3 linked regions of the Cricetulus griseus genome follow. The protein of the gene in region 1 interacts with the protein of each later gene in a biochemical or structural test. Links are inferred from orthologs where the notes say so. Each region holds a gene or a part of one and is shown in the gene's direction. Other genes may lie near its edges.

Region 1 (7,599 bases):
CTATATAGCCCTGGCTGTCGTGGAAACATGTAGACAAGCTGGCCTCAGAATCACTGAGGTCCTCCTGCCCCAGCCTCTGTCCTCTGCTATGGCTAAAGATGTGCACACCATGCCCAGCTTGTTTAAGGATTCTAGAAACTTGACAAGTCACGGAAAGTTTCTTCCCCATTTTGCTCAGCTCTGTGACATATGAAAGTCCTGAAGCCATTCGCAGACTCTTTAGTGATGTGGTCTGGTCAAAACATCCAATGATGATACCTGCTAATAGTGTTGGGGTGTGTGTGTGTGTGTGTGTGTGTGTGTGTGTGTGTGTGTGTGTGTGTGTGTGTACGTATTCTTCTGTTGCGTTATCAAGATCACCTTATGGTGCCCAACATTTCCTCTTTCCTTTTCAAAAGTAAACTCACAGCTCTTACCAAAAGTAACACTAATAAAGTTTTTTTTTTAGAGATTGTTGTTGTTTTTTTGTTTTGTTTTTACAGTGGAAACAAAAATCCACATATGTAAAATGTAAGTGTAGGTATAGTTCATTGAGTCAGGGCTGTTTTATTAAGTAAGTCTAAGATTTCTAAAGACTCTGAATGCTTAGTGCTTCTTGCATTCTGACCACAGACACCAGAAATCCCACAGGAAGTTGTGCTTCTGAGTGTTGTGGTTTTTAGTTTCCTGTTCCTCTGCATTAGATCAGAAAGAAATCTGTACACAAAGGGAAATTCTTGGTTGAACTTTCTTGTAACTCTAAATGAGATTCTCTAACTCACTTGGATTTCTTCCCTTTTGATTTAAACCTAGAGAAAATGTAGCCACATTCATCTGTACTCATTAATGTCATGGTACACTTTGAAAACTTTTTGGTGTTCAGTGGATAAACTCTTATTCAAGTTAAGGGTGTGTCTCAGAGATTATGCTATATTCTGTCCACTCCAGTTTATCTGGGGAAAGGTCATATTGAAGCACCTTCCCACAGATAAACTGTAGGGCGGCAGAGCTAGATTCCTGACAACAGTGTTTTTCTTTAAAATTATTTTCTGATTTCTTTATTTTTATTAGCATACAAATTAATAGGTGTCACTATGGCAGCTTAATTTCTATAAATGATAGGAACTTCCCTTGCTATTTGGAGAAGATACACAAATATAGTTTGGTTTAGATATTAAGAATATCTGTTCAATTTACCTAGTGTAACATTTAGTTCAATTTAGATAATGTAATTCCATTATTCAAAATACCATTGGAAAATTTTAAAATGTTATGTTAACTGGAAATTTTTGATACACTTTTTAAAGCAAAGTATTATGAAAGTGAAACGTTTTTATTGATTTCATTTTTTTAAAGCCATGACAAAAATTAGATCAATCAGGTATACTGGATTTGAGACAAGTTGCAGATATCTAACATTTAATTCATACAGTGGGAGACATGATAGAAGATTGTCCAAAGAGAAAAGAGGAAGAGTATGTGCATAACACACCCCATCTGCCTCTAGGCAGGTTTGCAGAATGCATTTTATTAAAAGTTAACGCACTGATGTGAAAGACCTTCAATAACCACTTTCTAAAAATACAAAACATCTAAGTGTTTTGTGATGCTGTTTTCTCAGAGGAAAAATTTAATCACTCTTCTTAAGAGAACACAGGGCACTTTGCCTTTGAAACAATCACATGCAATATGACTAAAACAAAAAAAATGACTTTAATTGGTTTCTTTCATGGCAAGAAATAGGGTTTGGTTTGCATAATTTTTTTTTCTAGTTCAACTAGCTTAGAGTTGCAAAACACATGATTTTGAAATCTTAATTGTCATATACAGATATTTCTTAGAAGTAAGTTTGATTCTGTCACGTAGCTGAATTCTAAAAACTATTGTTTAACCCTATGTTCATGCCCCACTCTACCTTGCCTGGCCATCGTAGCATTATAATAGGTACTTTAAGGATGTTATTTAATGTTACTAAAAATTCTTGATATCTGTGAAGAGCTTTGCAGTATACAGAGTGTAACTTAATGAAGCTCGAAGTGGTTTTCTACCTATTTTTCCTGTTCATCAAGGTAGCTAGCTGGCCTAAGTTTGCGCGGTGGCCGATTGAACTGGTGGTGAGTTCCGCATGTACTTACATACTTTTTTGTCCAGCTTGAGCTGGAGGGCATGGTTTTCAGAAAGGCAGGCAGCCTGGTCTATCTCTTCAGGGGCCAAGAATTTCAGCAATCTTGATAGCCCAAAAATGTCTAGGGAGGCATGAGAAAGAAAGTGGCTGGGATTATCTCTGGATGCCTAGATCTGTAACTTGGTTTATTTAAGGCAGTTGGCTTGTTCTGAGCCTGCTAGAGCGCTTCTGATGTACTTCAAACAAAAACACATCTCTCTTCAATAGGGTAACAATGCCCAGACACGTGGTGACAGTTGTGACCATTGTTACTTGCGAGGTTAAGGAAACCACAGTCAGGTATTGGCCAGGCTCGCCTTTCCTGCCACACTCCTGCGTGGGACTGATCTGGGGTGGCTGGCTTAGGAAGAGAGTAGACAAGTCTCCGTAGGGAGTTGAAAAGCTTAGGTACATAGAGGTGTGGGCTTCTCCGGGGCGAATTCTGCCGGATCTTTCATAGAAGCAAACAGGATGGCTCGCGCGGCAGCGGAAACCGCCTAGCAAGTTACTTGGAGAGCTGAGCTTTTCCTTCCGCGCGGGGGTCGGAGCCGGCCTGGCCCCGCCCCTCGCCGAGGCCCCGCCCCCGCCGGCTGGGCATGCTCAGTGGCCCGGTCCGGCAGGTTTTGCGTGGCTGCTTGAGTTGCCCGCGACGGCTCTGCCCGCCGACGGCACGTCTCTCGGCGGCCACGCGTTCCGGGGAAGTTACGTGCGGGAGCAGGTTTCTGAGGAGACGCCCGAGGGCGGAGGGGACGGCCGGGGGTCTCGGTCCTGCGGAGCGGCGAGCGGGCCGAGGGCGGCGGAGGCCGAGCAGGCGGCCGGGTGTGCCCCGCGGAGAAGCCCGGGCGGGGCGGACGCTTCCCGGACTTTTGTCCCACTTGAATCCCCTCCCCGTGGGCCGGGCCTTTCCGGCCGCCCCCGCCCCTGCCCCGCTCGTCCCCGGGAGATGTTTATGCGGACGGTGGCGTGAGGAGCGGGCGGGCGGGCCGGCGGCGCGGAGTTTCGGGTCCGAGGAGCCTCGCGCGGCGCCGAGAGAGACAAGATGTCCGCCAGGGCCGCGGCCGCTAAGGTGAGGGCTCACGGCCCGCCGGGCTGCGGGCGGGGCGGTGGAGGACCCGGGGCCCTGCGGGGGGCCTCGCCCCGCCCTCCCCGCGGGCGGCAGCCGGGGGCGACGGTGGCGGGGCGGGGAGGCAGGGAAGGAAGGCGGGCTGGAGACGCGCCTGCCGCCCGGGCAGGTGCACGGCTGCCGGTGCCTGGCTCCGGCTCGCGCTGGGAGGCGACGTGCAACAGGTCTCGCGCCTGGAAAGTCGCCCCGGGTGAGGATTCTCATGTCTCCGAGAGCGTGTCTGCTGAGACCCAGGGGTGTCACCTGCAGCAGGCCGGTGGGTAGCTCGGGCTGTCTCCGGAGGAGTGGTTGGTACCCGGCGAAACCCTGTAGTTTCGATCTGATGTCACCCGCTGCGGTATGCGCAATGGCAGCGATAAAGCTTTGAGACAGCAAAACACTCAGCTCGAGAGTAGCTAAGATTTTTTTTTTTTTTAGCTTTAATATTTATGTGAGGCATCAGAGGAGGAAAGTTCTTAACACTTTAATTTCAACTTTCAAAAGTATCACAAAGTGTCCCTGCACATGGACAATAAGATGGACTCAACAACAGAAAATACCCGATGAATTCTGCACAAAACAACGTTCCGGTCCATTTCCCCGTGTGTTTTGAAGTGTGTTTCTTGACACAGCATGCCTTATGTTATTAAGTACTACATTAAGCCAAAAAATTTTAAAAATCGAGTTAGAATTCTTCCCATTTATGCATTTTAGTACTTGGTCTTTCAAACAATGATAGGAACACAAAATGTGATGAGTGAAAAAACTCCCTTTAAAAAAAAATCCATTACTCAAACAACTTAAAACAGGTGGTGATTTTATATATTTTTCTATTAGAAATACTTAATCATAACCTTAGGGAGCAGATAGAAGGAAGCGCCTGAATTCTTAATAGGACCTTGTCTTTTGGCTGGCAGTAGTTAGCGGTTACAGTTAGTAGTGAATAGATTGTTTTAAGGAATGGAGTATTCCTCCCTTAGTAATAATGCTTGTATCTTATTTGAAGGCACATTGATGACCGATCTAAAACGTAAGCCTGGGACCAAAAACTAGAATCAGTGCAACATTTTGTTACTTATAAAACATAAAACTTGTTATTTACCTTTGCTGGGACTTCCTGGGAAGAAAGGCTTTGTTGCCATATTACACAGAATGTCACTTTGTTTCGAAGTGTGAGCCCTGGTACTTGTTATTCAAGACAACACAGTTGGAAAGTGTTATTACTAGAGAAGTGTTTCCAATAGCTTGCTATGGCAAGGTGATTTAGAAGGTGTGCTTACACATAAATTATGATATTGAGATTTTTATGGAACATGGCAATGCTTCTCTAGTCAAATATTTGCATGCTTAGCTGGTAATTGAAGAATTATTTTCTTGGATGCTGTATTGGGGCACACTTTGAAGTCTACATAAAGCTAGAACCCACCATAAGTGAACAGGTAAATGCAGTGCTAACCAGTTGTTTCCCTAAGTCACATTTATTGTTTTGCTTAAGAGCTCAACTCTGTCAGTGCTTTACATAGGGTGCTTTTGTTTTTCCCACCCCTGTTAAAATATTTTACAGACACTAATTTTGCAGCACAACAGTTGTAGAGCTTGTGTATAAGCCAATGCTTTTGATTCTGTATTCTTGTAATGGTTGAGTAATTTTCATCTTGCTGCTCAGGTCATCATTGCCTTTTTGAGGAGATGTTTGGCTTGTTTCCAGGATATTGTTACTGCAATGAGTACACTTTAAATAATTGTATTTACATTTTTGTATCTGTCCACTTACTACTGTATGGCAAATTCTTAAAAATGAAATTGCTATGTCAAAGAGTTCATTTGAAATTCTGATATACCCATTAAAATCTTCCTCCAGAGCCTATACTTAAGAATAAATACAACAAATGATGGTTTGTTACCCAAATCTAGGGGAATCAAACTCTGGGTGAAGAGAGTCAGAACCTACCCATGGTCCCTGAATTGATGTGTAAGTGCAGTGCAGTTCCAAGTAGAATTCCAGTGTGGTATTATAGAAAACATGATAGTTTGATGTTTATCTTACCACATAAATGAATGGAGGGAGAAAGTCCTTTCAGATAATCTAATGTATTATAAATTCAGAGTAATTTAAAGTAGGCTATTGCTTCAGGAATAGAGAATGGCGCCACACAGCCATAAATAAATAATACTTATTATTCAGAAATAAATAAATAGTACTTATTTATTGGCTGTTAGTGTTTGTGATCAACTTTTAATATGTACTGTGGTTGTTTTGTGTTGGTAATTCACTTAATTCTCACAGTAATGCTGTGAAAGTGGAAATAGTTTGCACTCTTAGCCCAACAAAAGGGAAAACTGAATATATGTCAAAATAAGAATAGATTATTGGGAAAGGATCCTTTATTCAATAAATAAGACTACTAAGGCGGGTATCTTTTTTTAAAAAAAATGTTTCTTTTATGTAACAAAATCCAGAAGAATCTTTGTTGTAGTTGTTATTTATTGTGGGTGTCTGATGGGAATGCACACATGCTGTGGCAACCCAGTGGATGACAATTTTGTGGCTTTGGTCAGTCTAGCATCTGTGAGTTACAACCACCTTTATCCACTAAGCCATCCTTCCTTCGATGCTCCTCATGAAGTTTTAAGTGTTTGAAAAAAATAACTGAAAAAGCACTAGGAGAAATGTGTAGGGAGACATAAGCTCTTGAGCTCACAACACATGCCTGAGTACTACGTGTACACACACACACACACACACACACACACACACACACACACACACACACACGTTTGAAAAGGGATTCTCTGTGCATGATGTTCAGTAAATAAAGGAAAAAGCCTTTTATCTGTATGATGCGTATCTGAATTTGCATTGAATTTTGCTTACTAGTGTACTTGGTAACAGCTATTTGGAAGTTGAAAACAGAAATTTGGGGATGGTTCTCTGCCTTACCAAATAATTGTTTAACTAGGTAAGAAAATAGTATTAATTATTAGGAACATTTTCATTGGCTGACCCATCAACAGTTACTGAAGGGAGTTGAATGGTTTCTGGAATTTCAAGTTGTATCACTTTGGAGAAACAGTAAAAATTATTGTGCCTTCCTTGGCTAGCTTATTGTTTTGCTGTGTAATGAAATGTTTGTGTCGGAGAAACAGTTTTGTTTTTGCTAGTGGCTATGTCTGAAATAATGTAGATGGGTATAAAAATGATTTATACTTTTCTTTTTTAAACCATTGCTCTGTTTATTGTGAGGGTTCTCAGGAATCTTTATCAAGTGAGGCACAGTTAGTTTTTTTAGTAGCTGAACATTTTTGAATTTTAACTGCAGAAAATAGCTAATGTTCAAAACTTATTCCACCAGTCTTTATGGATAGGGATTGTTTGCTGAGGAACTATTAAACAATTTTAGTTTGGTACTTAACTGATCAGTGAGTATTTGCTTCATATACTTCAAGAGTAAAGTAAAAACTCACTTGAGGCTCAAGATTTTCACTTTATTGAGTCTGCCACCATTTATGATCTTTGTTCTACTGATACCCCTCCCCCCCTCAGTTTGTACAGTAGTTTTCACCAGGATGTAGAATTTTAGACACAGGCTTTTAAGTATGTAGGTGTTCAGCCTTTTAGATGCTGTTCATTAAAGCTTTACTTCATGTAAATTGGTTGGTAGTCCTCATTATATTATGTAGCTTCATAACTTACTGATACAGTGCCATTTTCCCCAATAGATGTTTCCATGGCAGGAGCTTGTAAAGTGAACTTTTATTTCAGATTTGAGGAAGACTTCATGCTGCCTCTGGCTTGCTGTAGTGATAGTGTTAGCCCAACTCACCAATAGTAAGGAGCATGTGTTGGGTATTTATAGAACTGCTTCTATAAATTACAATAGCTTCACTTTTTTTTTTTTAAATCCTAGAATTGGGATTCTGCCTCTGACTTACCTGCTCTGTAATCCTTTTCTATTTAGAGACCTAATGTAAGTTCAATACAGTTGTTAAGAATAAATCAGAATAAATAAAATCACTCTAAATTTCATTTAGAGAAATGGCTTTTTTAGAAAAACCTATTTAAAAACTTTTCTGGTGGGTGTCTTTTAAAATAATAATTTTGATGAAAATTTAGGAGATACAATTTTGTTTCTTGGTTTAGCTTTAATGTGTTAATAATTCAATCTTCTGAAAGACAAGAGTCAGCTTTAAATTCCTGTGACATCCATCCTCATGTGTCTCAATGCAGAACATCCCAGGCCTGCTAGCTTTCAGTCACACTCATTCCAAGTCCCCACTGAGCCGCCTAGTAATGATGACAAGCTTGGGGGTGAGGGAGGGCAGGGGCGGCACTGCTAACTAACTGTTGTTAGGC
Region 2 (5,366 bases), on another chromosome or scaffold:
TCGAACTCACAGGGATCCACCTGCCTCTGCCCCCCTAGTGCTGGGATTAAAGGCGTGCGCCACCACTGCCCAGCCCCCCCCCCCTTTTTTTGAGACAGGGTGATAGGGTTTCTCTGTGTAGCCCTGGCTGTCCTAGAACTCACTCTGTAGAACACAGAGATCCATCTGCCTCTGCCTCCTGAGTGCTAAGGACTAAAGGTATGTGCCACCACTGCCCTGCAAATTCTAGCTCCTTTAATCCAATTATTCAGTTAGCAGAAACAGGAGAATTTCTGTGATTCAAGGCCAGCCTGGTTTCCATAGCAAGTTTCAGGACAACCAGGGCTACAAAGAGAGACCCTGTCTCACAAAAACCAAAAAAGTTAGAAAAAAGTGATGATGATGATGCCAGTTGTCCCAGCACTTGGGAGGCAGAGGCAGGCAGATCTTTGAGTTTGAGGCCATCCTGGTCTACAGAGCAAGTTCCAATACAGCTAGGGGTATGCAGAGAGACCCTGTCTCAAAAAGAAACAGAAGACGAAGAGGAGGAGGAGGAGGAGGCAATGGATCACCTAGAACTGGAGTAACAGGATTGAGTGTCACAGTGTGAGTGTTGGAGACTGAACTCTGGTCCTCTGCAAGAATAGTAAACTCTCTTAATTGCTGAGCTATCTCCCAAGCCCCTCTCCCCTCACTAAGTGCTGTTTTAAAAAAGAATGGCAAGATTTAAGTATATTGGGTACTCTGGGGAGTGGATTTAGGAAAGGGCAGAAGCAGGGAAATTGATTTGGGGCCAGTTGTGGTCTTCAGGTAGTAGATAGTAGGTTGGCATGTGGCTGTGAGAATGATTGCTGGTTATAAAAACAAAGGGATAATGAGAAACATGGACTTTCAGAGCTGGAAGACACTCTCCTGGAAGGCTGGCTTCAAACTGTTCTTTAGCATGCACCAACCACATCCAAGCAGGAAAAAAAAAAAAAAAAAAAAAAAAAAAAAAAACGTAAAAAAAATCCCAGCTGTGCACAGAAGTTCAGGTCTGTAATCTCAGCAGCATGCCAGAGGCAGAGCCAGGCAGCCTTCCTGTAAGGTTCAGTCTAGCCTAGTCTATATAGTGAGATCCTGTCTCAAAGTTAACCAACCAACCAAACCACCCCACAAAACAAAAGTCAAAAGGTCACAAATAAGAGAGTCCACAAAGGTCTGCATTTTATACAAAAGCAGGTTAGTTAGCTGAACAAGCAGGACCTTTATTGGATAAATGAAGGGAGGGTTAACAGAGAGATGTATTAGGGGAAGGAAGAACGTGGGGAAGGGGAAGGGGCTGACTGAAAAATAGCAAGAAGGGCAGTGGTGGCGCATGCCGCCTTTAGTTCCAGTACTCGGGAGGCAGAGGCAGGCGGATCTCTGTGAGTTCGAGGCCAGCCTGGTCAACAGAGTGAGTTCCAGGACAGTCAGGGCTTCACAAAGAAACCCTGTCTAGGAACCCTACTACTCCCCCACCCCGGGAGCCCAAATAAACAAGCAATAGCAAGAGTAAGAAAGATGTATGAAAGTCTGAGAGAGGTAAGGAGGTCCTAGGAGAGGCAAGCTAGGAGAAAGAACTAAAAAGGGGGTTAGGGAAGGCAGTGACAGGCACATTGTGTGGTTGGACGGCTAGGCTCTGGAGGGTGCAAACAGACTGAAAGGGAGCAAAAATGCAAAAGGGAGGAATGAGAAACTTTACGTTGGGCAGAAGGATGCCGCCAAACTTTGGGAAGTCTGAGATCCGGTTCTTTAGGGGTGTGTCAAGGACACCTTGGGGAGTCAGAGGCTAGAGTGGGTGGGAGGTGGTGTGAAAAGACACACATAGGACCCCGGAGGCTCAGGATGAGGGAAAGTGTGTCTGGGGAAGGAGGTGAGAGTGGAGGGTAAGCTTGAAACGACACCTGGGGAGGGGAATGTTGGGTGTGGCAGCGACTCTGACCTAGGTTCTACTCTACTCTTTCCTCACCCTGGGAGGAAAGGGTTTCTGTGCTTTCTTCCTTTGGGAAGAAGGAGCCTGGATGTTGGAGGAGGCACTGACAGGCTCGGGTAGTAAGTCCTGTTATCCGTACTGGCCTCAGGGACCAGTATGTGGAGCCGCTGAAGAGCCATGCCTGCGTGGAGGGCTTGAGCCGTGAAGCGGAGGGTTGCCAGACCATGTCTCCGAGGCAGAAATTCCTAGAAGGGTGTAGCACCTGTGATTTTTATCATAACGGGCTAGGGCTCCTGAAGACAGCATTGGCCATGGTAGGAGACTGAAGAAAAAAGGTGAGTGTGGAGGCGAAAGCAGGGCTGGACAAAGAGTACGCGCCGAAACCCGCAGGGAAAGCGCGGCCGGGAGCCCTTCCAGGGCGTCTAGGGGACTGGCTCCGCAGTGACCCAGGCGCACCTGTCTGCAGAAGAAAGGAAGGGGCACTCTGGAGTCCGCAGCGGAGACTCCAGGGACTCGTGCGACGCCCTCACCTACTTCCCATCAGCGGTTAGAGCCAGGCAAATGAAGGGGCGTGACGCTGCGCTCAGGTTTCTTCCTCTTCACCTGGCTGGACAAGGAGGGGGTGGGGGCCAAGACTTCCGGTTCAGGTGAGTGTCCCTTCGGTGACGTCAGGTCACCCTCCACTGCCCCTCTGGTCCCGCCCCGGCTCCCGCGCTCCCGTTGCCTGCGGGAGCGCGTCCCCGACGCCCTACATATATACTCAGGTGCGCCGCACCTGTCCGCCCGCACCTGCTGCTCGCCGCCCAGCTCTCCGCCGAGCACCGCAGCCTGGGCCCGGGGGCCCGCGTACTTTCTGGGGGCCACGCCCTAGCGGCCCCTCCACTTCTTTGGGTAGTCTCTGCGCACGCCGGAGGGAGCCGCCTGGCCTTCGGGGGCCCCTTTTGTCTGGAACCAGTCCTTCGGGCGAAGCCGGTTCCCTCTGCTGTGAGTGTCGCTTCACCGGAGGGGACGATTTGTTTTTACCTCGGTTAACAAGATTTACAGTTAACCGGCCAACCGCTCCCCCCCCCAAAAAAAAACCAAACAAACCCAAAACTTTCTTTTTTCCTGTTTCTGGGTGACTTAAACCTCCGTCCAAATTTTCTTGTGTTGCTTCCCGGATTTTGTTTTACTGTAGGGTCGCCCTCCCGGCGCGTCCCATCTTTTCTGAGACGGAAATGGCCAATTCGGGCCTGCAACTGCTGGGCTTTTCAATGGCCATGCTTGGCTGGGTGGGCCTGATAGCGAGCACTGCCATTCCTCAGTGGCAGATGAGCTCGTATGCTGGCGACAACATCATCACAGCCCAGGCCATGTACAAGGGGCTCTGGATGGAGTGCGTCACGCAGAGTACCGGCATGATGAGCTGCAAAACGTACGACTCAGTGCTCGCCCTGCCGGGTAAGGCCGCGGGACCGACGGGGCGGACGTGCCCGGAGTCAAGGTGGCGGGGTTGGGTGTGGGGCAGGGCTGAGGTCGCACGGCCTGGCGCCCGGGGTTGCCAGGGAGCAGGAAGTGGACGCCTTGAGCCCAGTCGGGTGGGATCCGGAGGAAGAGGGCCTGGGACCCGGCAGTCACACGTGGGCTCACGCCCCTCTGCCCCGCTTGAAGTGGGGAGTCCTGGGAAGAGGCGCCCCTTGCCCCTGGGCAGTCAGTGGTCTCTGTCTGCTGCTTCTTTCTCTGGGACAAACGGGGGTCGGGACGGAGGCGCCTAGGGCCGCAGTGGTGCCCTCGTTAGACGTGGGACCGCACTTGTGGCCTCTAATCTTATCGGCCGATTAGCTGAAGCCACAAACCCGGTGGCCTCGATAGCGAGGGCAGAGCTAGGACACGCGCCGGCCCGTGTGGCTCAAACGAGGGCCCTGGCCGCCACCTGCACTTCCCTTTCGCCCCCTTTCTTCCTCCCTTCCCCCTACCTGGCGCGGTTTCATCGAAACCTCGGCGCCCCGGGCGGGTTCTGAAGCTGGGGCGGGGCGGGGAGCTGGATGGCCGTCGTGGCGGGATGGGGGCGGGAACTGTCTGCCCAAGGACTGTCTTGGACGGAGGGGGCCCCAGGCTGGCGGTGGAGCCCAACTGGCACACTGCGGTCCAGGGGTTAGTGGGCGCGGTTTGCAGCACTTAGGCTGGCGCCATCCTAAGGCTACATGCCATTTCCAGCATTGACCTCCTTCCTCCTCCTCCTCTGCAGCGGCTCTGCAGGCCACTCGAGCCCTAATGGTGGTGTCCCTGGTGTTGGGATTCCTGGCCATGTTTGTCGCCACGATGGGCATGAAGTGTACAAGCTGTGGGGGTGATGACAAAGTGAAGAAGGCCCGTATAGCCATGACCGGAGGCATTGTTTTCATCGTGGCAGGTGAGCCACAGGTCCAACGTGGGATCAAGTGCTCTTTTCCACCCAGAACAGCATGCCAAGGTCTTGGTTTGGACACCCAATAAATAGCAGAATCTTTTTTTCTCTTTCTAGGTCTTGCTGCCTTGGTAGCATGCTCCTGGATTGGTCATCAGATTGTCACGGACTTTTATAACCCCTTGACACCCATGAATGTTAAGTAAGTCTTCTAGGGAGACAAATCTGTGGACTTGGGACAGGGAGGAGGACATCAAGCCCCAGTTGACTCCAATCCTTTCTCTCCACAGGTATGAGTTTGGTCCTGCCATCTTTATTGGCTGGGCAGGGTCTGCTCTGGTCCTCCTGGGAGGTGCCCTGCTCTCTTGCTCCTGTCCTGGCAGTGAAAGCAAAGCTGTATACCGTGCACCCCGCTCCTACCCTAAGTCGAATTCTGCCAAGGAATATGTGTGAGCCGGGTGCTCGGCCTGTGGGCAAGGTGTGGGACAAAGGCCTCCGGGTCACTCCATCCCTGAACACCATGTACAGTCCTGGGGGCGGGGAGGGGGTGGGGGGGTAGAGGAGGGACTGGGAGACTACGACAAAACATAGGGTGTGCTTTTTGTACAGTAATAAAAATTAAGTTTTGGAAATTAGGTGTCTTTTCAGGCCTCCTTTCTCCACACCTGGATCCTCACACAGGAGTTGGCACTGAAGTGTGCCTATAGTAACATCGAACTGAGTGAAGTGCCAGTTGTACCCCTAGGCCTTTAGTCCTTAATTTTTTAGGCTCTTACCCATTCTCCCCAAACTCTTTTTCTCATTAAGTACTATCCTGTGTGGTCAATGCTATATGGGTGTGCATGTGTAGGTCAGAGACAGCTTTGTGGAAGGAGGTCTCTCCTTCTACCTTTCTGTGGGTTCCAGGGATTGAACTCAAGTCACCAGGCTTGTGGCAACTGCCTTTACCTGCTGAGCTATCTCTCCAGCCCCTACCCACAACATATACTTTTCTTTAAGTAGTTACCAAGGAGCTTATTCAACTAATATTCATGTGTATCTGTTTTA
Region 3 (6,242 bases), on another chromosome or scaffold:
CTCAGTCCTGGCCCCTGACCCATGTGTCCTGGAACTGATAGCGATTGAGGGTGGGGGTGTCTTTGTAGGGGAACACTGGGTAGCACCCCTGTGTTGTCTGGCACTCTGGGCTAAGGGGTTGGTCACTTTGCTGTGCCTACTTGGGAGCTCCTTGACCTGATCTGGAAGATCTGCAGATATACTGACAGGGCAGATCGTCATCATGAATAACTCATGTGACTTCTGAGAGCTGGCAGTTTAGGGACACCTGATTGTAAGATCAGGACTGTGGGGCAGAGAGTCCAGACCAGGAAGGCGGCCATTACTAATGCACAAAGAATGCTATGAGACCTTCATGGGCATATCTTTCTGTTGCTGGGAGAGTCTGCCTTGGTTCAGGATACAGCCTTGAGAGATTTATTCATTTACATTCTCCATGCTGCTGAGAGTCTTGGTCTTTGCCCTGGAGGAGCTTATTGTCTAGTGGAAGAGACAGGAACTAATCTCTTCAGTGAATGTACAGAGGTAAACTGAGGTAAACCTACTGGGAGTATATGTAAATGATGGAAGCTCTGCAAGAAGCTATCTGCTTTTCCCAGTGAGACCAGCACAATTTTGCATCTTCTGTTTCTTTTTTCCTTTTAGTTATCTGCCAGAGCTTGGGCATACTTTTCCATACACACTGGGCTTTCTCTTTTCCTCTGAAGCCCCTTCTGCCATGCAGCTGCTTGTCTGCCATGTGTTTGGATGCTGCCCTCTGTTACTAAAGCTGCCTTCTTTCTTAAAGGCATGGCTTTCTCTTTTCCCACTTCTGCCAACATATTTCCATTTCCCTCCTCCTGGCAACTGCTGAGATTGACAGTTTGTCTGCCATGTTGTTTTCCCCCTCAAACTCTAATAAAATTGTTTTAAAGCTTCCTTCTGAGTCCATTTATAAATTCTTGTATTAATGAAACTGAAGACCCCAGAGAAGGAACCTCAATTTCCTCAGCAACAATCTTCAGCTACTTAGTGAGTTCAGGACCAGCTTGGGCTACTTAGACCTATGGACCAGCCTGGGCTACTTAAACCCTGTCTCAAAAAACAAACAAACAACAACAAAAAACATGTTATAAGATTATTGCATGTGGAGAAAGGAGGCAAGCAGTTTGTTTACTATGTATTTTTAGTGAGGCAAAGTCTCGCTATGCAACTGAAGCTGATCTTGAACTCATGGCAATCCTCCTGCCTCAGCCTCACAAGAGCTGACTCTAGCACAGTGATTCTCAACCTTCTTAACACTGCAGCCCTTTAATATAGTTCCTCATGTTGTAGTGACCCCCCAGCCATAAAAGAAGTTTCATTGCTACTTCGTAACTGTAATTTTGCTACTGTTATGAGTCAGGATATGCATGTAAATATGTAAATGTCTATGTTTTCTGATGGTCTTAGGTGACCCCTGTGAAAGGGTCATTTGACTCCAAAAGGATCTCCACCCACAGGTTGACAGTCACTGCCCTGGTGCCTTTTCTTTTTCTTGAGTAATTTGGAGCGCCTCTCCCTTCTGCCCTCAAAACCTTAAAAATTTCTGTGTTAAAACTTTGTGTGGGCTGTGTCATGGAGGAGGTGCATTGCTTTACAGTCCCAGGACCCCCAAAGTAAATCATTCTCAATAAAGGCTTTCCCTTCCATTCATTTTCTCCAGTTGGGAAGGTCTGGGAATGCTAAGAGTGCCCTCAGTGTCCATTTCTCCCCCACACCCTTCCCCACCTGGATTCTGTCCCTCCTGCGCATCCCCTCCCTTCAGCTGCCCGGGTTTTCTGGCTTCCTAGAGCTTCTACTATCTCCGAGAGGGACTTTGCCAAGTTTACTTGGCCCAGAGCCCCGCAGGGAGGTTGAATTGGATATGATTGCATTTCTGTCTGGCACACCTGAGGTTCCTCCCACCAGCTCATTGCTGGGCTCCAGTAGAGACCAGCAGAAGGCATGAGGAAGCTGCATTGGTTGTCCTTCAATTTGCTTGGAACAAAAATCTCCCTCCCAAGTTCCAGGAGTCAGAGTACACCTGGAACACATTCCATTTACTGACTCTAAGCTTAGGCGATGTGGCCCAGGAAGTTGGCCTGTGAATGGCCCTGGCTCTATCCCACAGCCTGTCTCCTATGGGTTCTTGGATTGGCACACTAAAAACCTATTTAAAGGTTGCTAATGCTCTGTTGGTAGAGTGCTTGCCTAGCATACATGAAGCCCTGAGTTCCAGCCCACACTGCATAAAACCAGGCCCAGTGGCTAGCCTTTGTATGCAAGAAGTGGAGATAGAAGGATCAGAAATCAAGGTCCTCAGCCGGGCCTTGGTGGCTCACTCCTTTAGTCCCAGCACTCGGGAGGCAGAGGCAGGCAGATCTCTGTGAGTTCGAGACCAGTCTGGTCTACAAGAGCTAGTTCCAGGACAGCCTCCAAAGCCATAGAGAAACCCTGTCTCAAAAAGCCAAAAAAAAAAAAAAAAAAAAAGAAAAAAAGAAAAAAAAAGAAAAAAATCATGTTTAAGTCCCTCCTCCTTTCTTTTCTCTCTTGGTGCTGGGGATTGAATCCAGATCTCACACGTTAGACAAATGCTATACCACCAAGTCACAACCTGGCTAGAAGTCCTTTCTCAAATAGGCAGTACATCTACACAGTATGAAGTTCAGAAGGACAGAAAGCTACACAGTGGGAAGCCCAGAAAGTAAACCTCCTCTGTCTGTCCAGCCCTCAGTACCTTCACTCCAGAGACATGACTGCTGTATCAGTATCAGTTTAAGTGCCCTCCCAGAGATGGATGCCACATTTTGTGATCTATATGTTTTAATAAACTCTGCAATAGGGGGCTTCTTTTTTTAAGGGAGTTGGAGGAATCAGATAGGCAAGGTTGGGCATCCACCTTTACATGGGAGAGACCCTTGGCTGTGTTGTATGTGAAGATCAGTAGACATCCTCAAAGTCTTAATAAGCCACAATCCCCAGGATTACATCACAGGAAATAAATTATTTTGGGTCTGTGGGCCTCAAAGTATATTACCTGTTTTATTTATATTTTTTTCCTTTTATGTTAGAAGGACCTATACATACTAGGCAAGCTGTCTACTAACGAACTACCTTCCTAGCCTTCAAAGTGTGCTATCTGGACTGGGAGTATCAGCATCACCCGAGAGAAGTTGCTGAGGAATTCAAATTCTCAGGTCCAGCTCCAGGACTAATAAGTCAGAAACTGGGGTAGACTCCCATATACTGCATTTCTATAGAAGAAACAGACAAGGTAGTCAACGTCCTTAAAGCTGGGTGTCTACTTCAGGCTCCTCAGCTAAAAACTGTTTTCTTTATCTTCTAGGACCCCTTCTCCTACATGTGGAGCAGGCACACATGATGGCTGATCCTCGGGGTCCTGTAGACCATGGAGTCCAAATTCGCTTTATCACAGAGCCGGAGGGTGCTACTGAGATGGGTACCCTTCGTCGCGGTGGGAGACGCCCTCCTAAGGATGCAAGAGCCAGTACCTATGGGGTCGCTGTGCGTGTGCAGGGCATTGCTGGACAGCCTTTTGTGGTGCTTAACAGTGGAGAGAAGGGGAGTGACTCCTTTGGGGTCCAAATCAAGGGGGGCAACAACCGGGGGTCCCCAGGAACACCGAGCTCTGATCCAGAGATCCCTGAGAACCCCTACTCTCAATTCAAGGGGGTTCCTGCCGCTTCTCAGGGCAGCACATCTGATGAGGAGCTCAAGGACCACTGGAATGGAAGACTGCTCCGATCCCAGTCGCAAGCCTCTCTGACAGGGCTTGCTTCTGTGAGTCCTACCAATAGGAGCACCAGCTTGTTGGAGCTAGCCCCTGAAAAGACTCCCCCGGTTAACACCATTGACACTGCCCCCTTGTCTTCAGTGGACTCACTCATCAACAAGTTTGATAGTCAAATCGGGGGCCAGGGCCGGGGCCGGATTGGCCGCCGCACGCGGACGCTTCCTCATGAACAGCGCAAGCGGAGCCAGAGTCTGGACAGCCGGCTGTCACGGGATACCCACGATCGGGATCGGGAACACCAGTCCCCCAACCACTGGACCCCTGGCACAAAGTATGACAACCAAGTGAACAGTTCAAAGCAGCCATCCAAGAGCCAGAGCCCTCTCAGCAGCTTTAGCCGTTCCCGGCAGACTCAAGACTGGGTCCTACAGAGCTTTGAGGAACCACGGGAGAAAATACCGGATCCCACCACGGTGCAGGTCAGAAGTCATCCCTCCCCACTGCCAACCCTCAGCTTTGCATCAGCCCACGGAATCCTTTGTTAATTCAGGGCAGATAGTCTCTGCCTTTTGTTCTCCATCTTATCCACTTAGGTGACATACATTCATGGGTAAACTTCTAAGGAAAATGGAAATGAGCATGGAGAAATTAGTCATTCTTCAGTCATCGGCAAAGGTTAATTCTTTAGGTCCAGCACCTTTTGTAATGCAGGCTTGGAGGGTATGGAAGCTCCCCTAATAGTTCAAGTCCACGCTTTCTCCTGGTGGGGAGACAAACTTAAGTGCGTTCTGGAACTCTGTGTGCATTTATAAATTCCAGCACATCTGTTGGTGTTAGTGACATAGCTCCCAGCTGGTTATTGAGAAAAGTGATTTGCATTGATAGCACACAGTGTGTCCTGAGCAGCATTGTTAGTTATGCTGAGTTAGGCTTCGCCTCTCCGCTGTCACCTGTGTTCCATTTGAACCACATATGTACTCTGGCGTCTTCTCTCCTTCCTTTTTTCCCCTTCGTTTCTCCTACAGTTCAAATCAACTCCAGACCTTCTCCGAGACCAGCGGGAGGCAGCACCGCCAGGCAGCGCGGACCATGTGAAGGCCACCATCTATGGCATCCTAAGGGAGGGGTGAGTGGGGTCCCCCCGGTAGTGGGACATACACTTCCTTTCTTGTCCCTCTGCCTTCCCTTCCCATCTCTTTCCTCATCTTCCCTCCCCTCTGTTCACTGTTGCTTCTGTCCTTCTGTCCTCCAGAAGCTCAGAAAGTGAAGCAGCTGTAAGGAGGAAAGTTAGTTTGGTGTTGGAGCAGATGCAGCCTGTGGGGGTGAGTGACCTTCCTGGGGTCAAGACTTGGGCCAGGAGGCCTCTAGGGGTTTGGACTCACTTCCCGCCCCCTTGTCTCCTATACCTCTGGCAGATGGTTTCTCCTGCTTCTACTAAGGCCCTGGCAGGGCAGGGTGAGCTTACCCGAAAAGTGGAGGAGCTCCAGAAAAAGCTGGATGAGGAGGTGAAGGTAAGGCAGGCTAGAGGTGTGGGAGAGGTGAAGGGCCACAGGGAAGATGAATGTCCTGGGGACGAGCTAGACTGGCTCTTTTGTATGTGTGTATGTGTGTGTATGTGTGTGGGGGTGTCTTGCTGAGTAACCCTGGCTGTCTTTGTAGTCACAGAGATCTTCTTCGATTTGTGGACTCAGAGGCATGAGCCACCATGCCCATCTGGCCTGGGTCTCCTGAGTCGGTGCTGTCTCTATGTGTGAGACAGGAAGTCAGTGTCCCAGCAAGGCCTTTGAGTTTCTCTGGGACTTAATGGGTGGAACACATTAGAGGTCTAATTACTTCCTTTTCGTTTTCCCTAGGAGTCCTTGTCCAGGGTCTGCTATTGACTGCTTGTAAAAAGCTTAGAAACTTTCCTTTGTTCTCTGTCCAGGGGTGTAGCTGAGTTGATAGAATACTCACTCTGCATGCATAAAATGTCCCAGGTTCAATCCCTAGTGTGACTACAACCAACTGTGGTACTTGCTTATAAGCCCAGCACTCAGGGAGTAAAGGCAGGAGGATCAAAAATTCAAGGTCCTCTCTGGCTATTTATCACATTTGAAGACAGACTGGGTCACATGAAACCATGTCTCAAAAAAAAAAAGAAAGAAAGAAAATTACTTACATTCTAAGTGTCTTGAGTCTTTTTCTCATCATCATTATGATGGTAATGATAATAATGTCATTTTTTGAGTATAATTTTTATGGCAGATGCTGCCCTGGGTAATACATAATCATTACAGTGGCTGTGCAAGTATGCTATGGATCTTTTCTGATGAGAGACCCTGAACATCAGAGATGTTAAGGGAATTGCTTGTGGTAGTAAGCTGTAGAGAAAGGATGAAACAGTGCATCCACTCTTCCTCTAAAACTTATGGACACTTTTTTATTTTTTCTTTTCTTTTTGGGGTTGGAAGGGCAGAGTCTCAAAAAGACTGGCCCTGAGCCGGGCGTTGGTGGCACATGCCTTTAGTCC

What was found. The genes of interacting proteins can lie anywhere in the genome.
Region 2: the proteins of Tjp1 (region 1) and Cldn7 form a complex in vitro, tested with the Homo sapiens proteins (2 studies listed by BioGRID and IntAct, with this or other methods). The link is inferred for Cricetulus griseus from reciprocal best matches to the Homo sapiens genes TJP1 and CLDN7.
Region 3: the proteins of Tjp1 (region 1) and Cgn form a complex in vitro, tested with the Homo sapiens proteins (2 studies listed by BioGRID and IntAct, with this or other methods). The link is inferred for Cricetulus griseus from reciprocal best matches to the Homo sapiens genes TJP1 and CGN.

The regions. Positions count from the first base shown.
Region 1 is NC_048596.1:131,896,302-131,903,900, forward strand, and holds the start of Tjp1 (tight junction protein ZO-1), read left to right. Parts: upstream 1-2,766; 5' UTR 2,767-3,182; coding exon 3,183-3,209; intron 3,210-7,599. UniProt on the Homo sapiens protein: TJP1, TJP2, and TJP3 are closely related scaffolding proteins that link tight junction (TJ) transmembrane proteins such as claudins, junctional adhesion molecules, and occludin to the actin cytoskeleton.
Region 2 is NC_048600.1:83,813,427-83,818,792, forward strand, and holds Cldn7 (claudin-7), read left to right. Parts: upstream 1-3,150; coding exon 3,151-3,373; intron 3,374-4,160; coding exon 4,161-4,325; intron 4,326-4,436; coding exon 4,437-4,521; intron 4,522-4,609; coding exon 4,610-4,772; downstream 4,773-5,366. UniProt on the Homo sapiens protein: Plays a major role in tight junction-specific obliteration of the intercellular space.
Region 3 is NW_023276806.1:61,736,716-61,742,957, forward strand, and holds the start of Cgn (cingulin), read left to right. Parts: upstream 1-3,348; 5' UTR 3,349-3,357; coding exon 3,358-4,212; intron 4,213-4,758; coding exon 4,759-4,859; intron 4,860-4,985; coding exon 4,986-5,055; intron 5,056-5,148; coding exon 5,149-5,244; intron 5,245-6,242. UniProt on the Homo sapiens protein: Probably plays a role in the formation and regulation of the tight junction (TJ) paracellular permeability barrier.